Macaca mulatta: one gene and its partner. The main gene of each other region encodes a partner of the protein of the gene in region 2 in a complex. Links are inferred from orthologs where the notes say so. Each region holds a gene or a part of one and is shown on either strand. Other genes may lie near its edges. The genes, in order: DONSON and MCM7.

Region 1 (3,811 bases), about 34 Mb from region 2:
TTTGGCTAGACAAAAGGTTGAGAGATGATCATAATTTTCCTTTTCTTTAAATTTTCATAAAGGCACGAAGTGTAAATGTGAAGACACAAGCTCTTTCTGGATACAGAGACCAGTTTAGTTTGGAGATTACAGGTCCTATCATGCCTCATTCTCTGCATTCACTGACCATGCTGCTCAAATCTTCACAGAGTGGGTCTTTCTCTGCAGTACTATATCCACACGAGCCAACTGCTGTATTTAACATCTGCCTGCCAGTGGACAAAGTACTTGATATGGTAAGAAAGACACCTATGAGCAGACTGTTTTAGTTGTTTAGCTGGAGGGAAGTGAGTCATTTATGCTGAGTCACTTTTGTGTTTCAAGTAATTAAACTGTTATTTAATTACGAATTACTAGAGGAAAGAATAGCTTTCATGAATTCAGTCCAAGTACAATTTTCTTTTTTTTTTTTTTTTTGAGACGATATCTTGCTGTTGCCCAGGTGGAGTGCAGCTACGCGATCTCGGCTCGCTGCAACCTCAGCCTCCTGGGTTCAAACAATTCTGCCTCAGCCTCCCAAGTAGCTGGGATTACAGGCATGTGCCACCATATCCGGCTATATTTTGTATCTTTATTAGAGACGGGGTTTCACCATATTGGCCAGGCTGGTCTTCAACTCCTGACTTTAGGTGATTCACCTGCCTCGGCCTCCCAAAGTGTTGGGATTACAGGCTTGAGCCATGGCGCCCGGGCTCAGTCCAAATACAGTTTTAACAGTGACTGAAGAACTTCGCATTTCAAAAAGGTACAACTTTTATTTTCATTTCCTCTTGGATCCAAAACTCAGTAGTACCTGATTCCTTTATAGTTTAAGGAAACATGATTCACTGTGGGTATTTATTTAACCATATTTGCCTTTAATTTTGAATATACTTAAGGTTTTTAGAGCTAGAATAATTAAGACCTTTAAAATTATCTCATGCATCTCAGTTGGCTAGACTTATAAAAATAACCATTAATGTTTTGGGATTTTGTCACTACAAAAATTCTTAGGATCAACTTCTGTTGATAGGATGAATCACGTGAATGAGACATTTGTCAGTCTCCATAGTAATTATTTGAAACTCTTTTGTGTTTAAAGATTGATGTGCTTTTTACTGACTTGTATACACATTTCCACAGGAGGTTGTTCATAAGGAGCTTACTAACTGTGGTTTGCACCCTAACACTCTGGAGCAACTTAGTCAAATACCATTACTTGGGAAATCATCTTTACGGAATGTGGTGCTGAGAGACTACATTTATAATTGGAGATCCTGAACACCAAAGTAAGCCTAAAAGGAATCTTTGAGGAAAAAAGCCTTCTAGCAAGGAAATTCAAGATTCTTGAAGTTGAAGGAATATACTGACATGTTATAAACATAACTTTTATTACAGTAGCATCTAAGGTTTTAAATCAGTGTTTTCTGCTTTTACTATTTTCAGATTAGATTTTTAGATACAAAGATGAAAAACTCAGATAACTCAAATGAGCTATCTGTATCCCTACAACCTAATTGTATATTGAGTAGAAACTGAATTAATGTTTCCTTGCAAATGGGAAATCACATAGCAGTTACCTCATGGCATTGTGACTAATGGCATCAGGGCAAAAATATGTTACTTTACCATTTACCTAAGACTGTTAGCAGGTTCTTGTTTCATAAAGGTAGAAAATAAATATAGATAACATCTACTGAGCTAGCTGATTGGTGATGCTTCTACCTTAATATCTTTCCTACTGATTTATAATTCCTTTATTTTCACATATACTAAAACTCTAATGCATGTTAATTCAGATAAAAAGGCATTTTGTATTCCACATAGAATAGTGTTAAGAATTGTGAAGTACACACTGAGCTGTCATGGCAAAGTAGTATTTAATGTGCTTATAGGGTGTGGGGGTGTGTGTGTGTGTGTGTGTGTGTGTTGTGTGTGTTGGGATTGTATAATTCACATTTTTAAAATAAAAGTGCTTAGAAATCAAAAGCATTGGGTAAAGAAATAATAGTATCTAAGTATTTGTTCACTTTATAATCCAGAAAATAAAACACCACGTTTATTCCAGAGAAGTTTGTATTTGGGCCTTAAGCTTTTGAAAATAAAGTTTAGAGACATAGCATATGAATACCACTGTAATACACATGAAATATTCTATCGGACCCTAAAAATTAACATAAACTTTAACTTTCTCATAGTCAACAAAATAGTGGCTGGTTGCCAATTTTATTAGATAAGTTGGTTACAGCATTTTAATTATCATTTTACGTCTATCTAGGTGTAGCTGAAATTCAAAATGCACATCAAAGTAAAACTATATCACAACTCAATGCCATACTAAATGTACTTGGCCTCTGCAATAGTAGAATTCTAGTCAGACTTCATTTTTTACTCCCTTCTTATGACCCAAGTGGCTTTAACAGGAATGCAGGACTTAGTGCTGATCATCACACAACATACCACTTTCTTTTTAGAACCTCTACAAAATTTTGAGGGGAGATTGTGGCAATAGCCCTGTGGAACAGATCTTGATCACCTCAATAACACTGGCCCAGTATCTGTCCAGCAGAACCCATTGTGAAATAGTACAAGGTGCACAGCCCTTCACTGATTACAGGCAAGTGTTACAGTAGCCTAGCCATAAGGAAGGGGAGTTACATCATAGTACAAAATACAGTATAAAAGCGTTATTTAACATTCCACACTGAAGATTACTCTGATGCCTTCAAACAATCGTTTGGATGTTAGCCACTTAAACAAATACATCACTAAGGTAAACAATATAAACATACCAAAACCCTGTATGGTTAAATACAATTTCCATGGTACAAAAATCAAAGCCTGGAGATGTTTTTACAGATTGCTTTTTACACAATGTCTTAAATTGCCAAATATTTACAACATTAAAGAGGAAATACATTGTGATGCAGAGTAAAATTATCTGAAATGATTATTATAAAACCTCAATCTATCTACGTGAGGCACTCCTGAAGCAAGTGGCATTAGCCATGAGGTCCTTTGGTACAAGGCCCATTGCTTGAAGAACCACAGTAGCTGCTGTGGCTTTAGCATGCTTCTTATTAGGGCTGGCAAAGCTGGGCTGGTAAGCGCTTCCATTTATCAATACCTATTCAAGAAAAACATACAATTGGGCTGGTAAGGGCTTCCATTTCTCAATACCTATTCAAGAAAAACATACAATAAGAACAGCATCAAACTTTAATATCTATTAGCTTTGTATTTTTCACTAAATGCTAGAAAAATAATTTACAAAAATATAAAACCCATACTATGTAAGTCAAATTATAATCTCAACCCAGAAGCAGCAAATCATTTGGGAAAAGGGACTGCAAATTAAAAGCAGGTCTCCAAATTGAGAAAAAGACTGATAAAAGTATTAAATTAATTCCCCACATTCAACTAGAAAATAACAAATTGTATACTATATTTTGCCCAATTTTTTCCAATTTTTTAAAAAATAGGACATTGACAAGTCATATGAAAGCACCCTTCAGTTTAAAAACCCCACCACTTAACTACAAATACAAATCCCCCACCCATGAACAGAACCTTAATCCTGTCATGTTTACCCCTCACCCTCTAAGTTATCACATTAATAAATATATACAATTAGTGCAGAAATTCATATTTACCCTAAAAAGAAAATGTTTGCGATGATCAGGGCCACTATCATGGACCAACAGAAATTCAGGTGGTTGCCACCTTCTCTTATTACAGATTTCCATCAAAGCAGACACAGGATGTTTGCCTGCAGCGGGGGAAAAAATATCCA
Region 2 (4,530 bases):
CACTTTGCTCTGTTGTGTCTCAGCCCCAAACTGTAAAGCATCCAAAGCAATCAATCATCAGGTCTGACAACCCCAGCCAACCCCTCTTCTCCTTCCTCACCCTCCTCTTTCCCTCTGCTGACCAAGCCAACGCTGCTGAGGTCAAAGAGGCTGAAGGGCTTGCTGACCACAGCTTCCGTCTGGATGAAATTCCTCAGCATCTCTGTGGATGTGGTCTGTACATAGCCATAGTCCTAGTGGTAAAGGAAGGACAGTCCGAGTGGTCAGTGGAGGGAAGGGGTAAAAAGGGGGAGTGGGGCCAGGCATGGTGGCACACTCTTGTACTCCCAGGTCTTTGGAAGGCCGAGACATAGGAGAATGGTTTGAGACCACGAGTTCAAGACCAGCCTGGGCAACAGAGCGAGACTCCCGTCTCTACAAAAAATAAACAATGAGCTGGACACAGGGGAGGAGGCTGAGGCAGGAGAATAGCTTGAGCCCAGGAGTTCCAGGCTGCAGTGAGCTATAATTGCACCACTGCACTCCAGCCTGGGCAACAGAGCAAGACCGTCTCTAAAAGGAAAAAAAAAATAGACTTGGCCTAACCACAGCATCCCACAGTAGAAGAGCAGATGTATCTCCAGGGGAATTAGGTGGGGGCCACAGAAGGGGATCATTGATTCTCACCAGCACTTCATCCAGGAGTTCGTAGACCAGAGCCACATTGCGGGAGATGGTCCCCTCGCCCAGGGAGCCACAGTAATCGCCCAGAAGAGTGGCCAACCTGAGGAAACACTTGGAGCGTGTATTTCCTCCTCCTCTGAGAACCCTGCCAGCTAGCAGGTGCCCAGCCCAACCCTCCTCACCTGGAGAGCAGTTCTAGGAGGCTGAAGGGAGAAACGTTTTCTGAAGTTGTGACCACCAAATACAGGCTGCTGTGTCTGATGTGAATGAAATGACGGCCATCATGATGCTGAAACACAGGCAGGGAGAAGAGGGGTTAGGAAAAGGGAGGTGGAGTAATCAGAACCCAGGAGACCTGAGCTGGGATCCCGATGCCTCTTACTAGTTTGGGAGATACATGACAGATCCCTGAGCCCAGCTTCCCATGTGGAAACGGGGTTAATTATAGTAACTACCCCAAGTTGCTGATAATGGAGTCACGCAGGGAGCTGGGCCTGGTGTGTTGCTGGCGCCCAATGGACGTTTTTTTTTTTCCCCCACCCCCATTACCCCGAGACGGAGTCTCGCTCTGTCACCCAGGCTGGGTGCGGTGTCCGGATCTCGGCTCACTGCAACCTCTGCCTCCTCGGTTCAAGCGATTCTCCTGCCTCAGCTTCCCGAGTAGATGGGATTACAGGCGCCCGCACCACGCCCAGCTAATTTTTTTTTCGTATTTTTAGTAGATGCGGAGTTTCAGCATGTTGGTCAGAATGGTTTCGAACTCCTGACCTCAGGTGATCCGCCCTCCTCGGCCTCCCAAAGTGCTGGGATTACAGGCGTGAGCCACCGCGCCGGGCCTCTTGTTAGTTTTACTTGGAGAAATACAACCCCCAAGTGGAAGCTACCATGGAACCAGTCCTGGGAGGGAGACGGCGCCCACCCGGCCCGCCCGGGCCCAGCTCCTCACCCGCCTCCCGCCAGTGGTTACCATGACAACCGGGGACTCGTCTCCTGGCAGTCCCGTCAGCTTCCGGTAGAAGAGCTCGGCCACATCCCGGCCGCCACTGTCCCCGCGGACTGGCGGGTGGAAGGACTCAGTGAAGGATCCTGCGACACGGGCTGGCCCTGGGCGCCCCTCCCGCCCGGTCCCTCCGCCCCTTCCCAGCCCCGAGGGTCTAGGATACAGTCTTTGTAGATGAGCGGGTCCCCCTTGGAGGACAGAATGAAGAACTGGGAAATCATGGCCGTCCTGGAGAGCAGACAAGAAGACGGCGAAAGTTGGGCCTGCCCCGCCCTGAGGCCCCGGAACAAAAGAACGCGCGTGCGCTGGCCCTTTAAGAGCGATTCTCCTCCGCCCGCGCCAGCTTGGACCGCGGGAAACCCGGCGCCCGCCCCACCCCGCCCGGAGATTCCCTTCCGACTCCCGCACCGCCTCCCCGTCACTCATTCGAGGCCCGCCCGGCGATTGGCTTGCGGCTAGCGGGAGGGAGAAAGGGCCGGCTTTTCCGATTGGCCCGCACGCAGTGGCGCTGGTCACGTGGGGGGCGACGTTTCGCGCCAATTTCGGTTGGCCGGCCACAGTCCACCGCCCGGACGTTCTCAGCTTCCCCAGAAGCAAGACCTCTGAGCCCGCCAAGAGCTGCCGCACGGGCCTCGGCAGCGATGGCACTGAAGGACTACGCGCTAGAGAAAGGTACGGGTCTACAAGCCTGGGAGGGCGTCCTGCGCGGGGAGCCTCCCGGGGAACACCTGTTGATGTGAGCTGGGGTTTTCGAGGACCGGGGTCAGCGGGTTCTGGGGCGCGCGACGCCAGAGGCAGGGTCGGGTTGCGGCCTGGCTAAGGCCCACGGGACCTGGAAGGCGCGCGAGGGGCATCGACGTTGAAGAAAAGGTAGTAATCCCACTTGGGAAAGGTGTTATAGAGTCGTGGGGTTGGGGGGCTTGGGGGGCGCTACCCGGCTGGGGGCTGCACAGGGAAGAGTCGCGCCGAGGACCTCAGGAGACTCTTTAAGGGCTCTGGACCCCGGACCCGCTTCCCTCCGCGCTTTTGGATATTCCCAGGTTCCCGCCGCCTCCCCGAGGCGCGCGGAGGCCCCGGGGGCGGGCAAGCCGGGGCCGCTGCGTGCCGGGATTGGCCGTTTGAGGCCGCCCTCCGAGCGGAAGTGGAGCCGGGCGGAAGTGGCGCGACGCGGGTGGAGGGAGTGTCGTGTAAACAGTGTCCTTCCGCGTGGCGGCCTCGGAGAGAGCTGCGACCCGGGGGGGCGTGCCTGGGATCCGGGAGCTTCGCTCGGGCCCGGGAAAGGCGGCAGTGGGCTGGGATCGCAGTGGCCCTGGGCGTGCTGGCCAATGGCTGAACTGGCTCCCGCCTCGGGCGGAGGAATCCCGGGCTGTGAAGCGGCTGGAATCCGGGCCCATGTGCTTCTTTGTTTACTAAGAGCGGAAGCGCTGGCGGGAGCGGTGGTGGGGTGCGGGACCTGCCTGGTGGCGGAGGTCTCGGTGAGATAAGGGGCTCGGGGGACCCAAAGAAGGCAGGGGATCATGGGGGTGGAAAGAAAGCTGAGAACCTTGAGGCCGGAGTGTGGGAGGCCAATGGGGAACGGCGCTAGGATTTTAAACTAAAGTAGGGACAGGAATTCCCCTGGGGAATAGATGTTGGATCGCCCTGTGCACTGCCCCGGGCTCTTTATTCTTCGCTGGTTAAAACAGACTGTGCAAAAGAGTTATGCCCACTTTGGGGAGAATTCGGTAGTTTATTTAAATGTTCATATTATTAGTTCATAGGCTGTGTTTTAAGCGAAAATAGGTATCTTAGATTTCTATCAGAGGGATGGGCAGTGATGTGTCTTAAAGTTTATGTTTTATGATTTTACATTTCACGTTACAGAAAAGGTTAAGAAGTTCTTACAAGAGTTCTACCAGGATGATGAACTTGGGAAGAAGCAGTTCAAGTATGGGAACCAGTTGGTAAGTATAAGATTGGGTAAAGGGAATGGGGAAGTGGGGTGCATAAGGAGCCATAAGAAGTAGCTTGGCTGGTTTTATTAAAGAGGTAATAATTAGAGGGTTTGGGGGCTGAGAAGCAAGTATCTCTCTAAGTGGTGCTGTGTTCTCCCCTGTGGATACCCAGAGCCTGTGCTGAGTTCTCAGTAATGTATCTTCACATATGAACACTGGTGCACAAGGTGAATGTGGCTTTGAGGTGTTTCTGTCTCTTCCTCACCTGAGGTTCGGCTGGCTCATCGGGAACAAGTGGCTCTGTATGTGGACCTGGACGACGTAGCCGAGGATGACCCCGAGTTGGTGGACTCAATTTGTGAGAATGCCAGGCGCTACGCAAAGCTCTTTGCCGATTCCGTACAAGAGCTGCTGCCTCAGTACAAGGAGAGGGAAGTGAGTGGCTAGAGAACAATGGCAAACAAAGGGAAAGGCATTTAAGCTTCTGTAGAGAGGCTGCTCAGATACTGATGTTTTCTGAGCAGGCAGAAAGAAGGGGCACTTCAGTCTCGTGTTCTCTGCGCTCTCCTTTCCCCATCCTGTTGCTCGTTTATTTATTTATTTGTTTATTTTGTTCTCCTTTAGGTGGTAAATAAAGATGTCCTGGACGTTTACATTGAGCATCGGCTGATGATGGAGCAGCGGAGTCGGGACCCTGGAACAGCCCGAAGCCCCCAGAACCAGTACCCTGCTGAACTCATGCGCAGATTGTGAGTGGTCTCTGTTGGGAAGTATGTAGGGATTGGTTCTCCAGGATCTTGTTTGTGACTGTTTTCTCCCCTTAGTGAGCTGTATTTTCAAGGCCCAAGTAGCAACAAGCCTCGTGTGATCCGGGAAGTGCGGGCTGACTCTGTGGGGAAATTGGTGACTGTGCGTGGAATTGTCACTCGTGTC

Evidence for each region.
Region 1: MCM7 (region 2) and DONSON share a complex: the UniProt entries of both Homo sapiens proteins name them as parts of the replisome complex. The link is inferred for Macaca mulatta from reciprocal best matches to the Homo sapiens genes MCM7 and DONSON.

The regions. Positions count from the first base shown.
Region 1 is NC_133408.1:13,807,000-13,810,810, forward strand, and holds part of DONSON (protein downstream neighbor of Son), read left to right. Parts: intron 1-62; coding exon 63-275; intron 276-1,161; coding exon 1,162-1,299; 3' UTR 1,300-1,307; exon of another isoform or gene 1,308-2,007; intron 2,008-2,076; exon of another isoform or gene 2,077-2,986; coding exon of another isoform or gene 2,987-3,198; intron 3,199-3,671; coding exon of another isoform or gene 3,672-3,787; intron 3,788-3,811. Other genes in the region: protein SON, read right to left, coding at 2,987-3,145, 3,672-3,787. UniProt on the Homo sapiens protein: Replisome component that maintains genome stability by protecting stalled or damaged replication forks.
Region 2 is NC_133408.1:47,406,891-47,411,420, reverse strand, and holds the start of MCM7 (DNA replication licensing factor MCM7), read left to right. Parts: upstream 1-1,599; 5' UTR 1,600-1,609; coding exon of another isoform or gene 1,610-1,719; 5' UTR 1,720-1,826; coding exon of another isoform or gene 1,827-1,884; 5' UTR 1,885-2,304; coding exon 2,305-2,335; exon of another isoform or gene 2,336-3,387; intron 3,388-3,526; coding exon 3,527-3,606; intron 3,607-3,867; coding exon 3,868-4,032; intron 4,033-4,221; coding exon 4,222-4,346; intron 4,347-4,421; coding exon 4,422-4,530. Other genes in the region: AP4M1 (AP-4 complex subunit mu-1), read right to left, coding at 1-30, 123-233, 667-763, 846-952, 1,610-1,719, 1,827-1,884. UniProt on the Homo sapiens protein: Acts as a component of the MCM2-7 complex (MCM complex) which is the replicative helicase essential for 'once per cell cycle' DNA replication initiation and elongation in eukaryotic cells.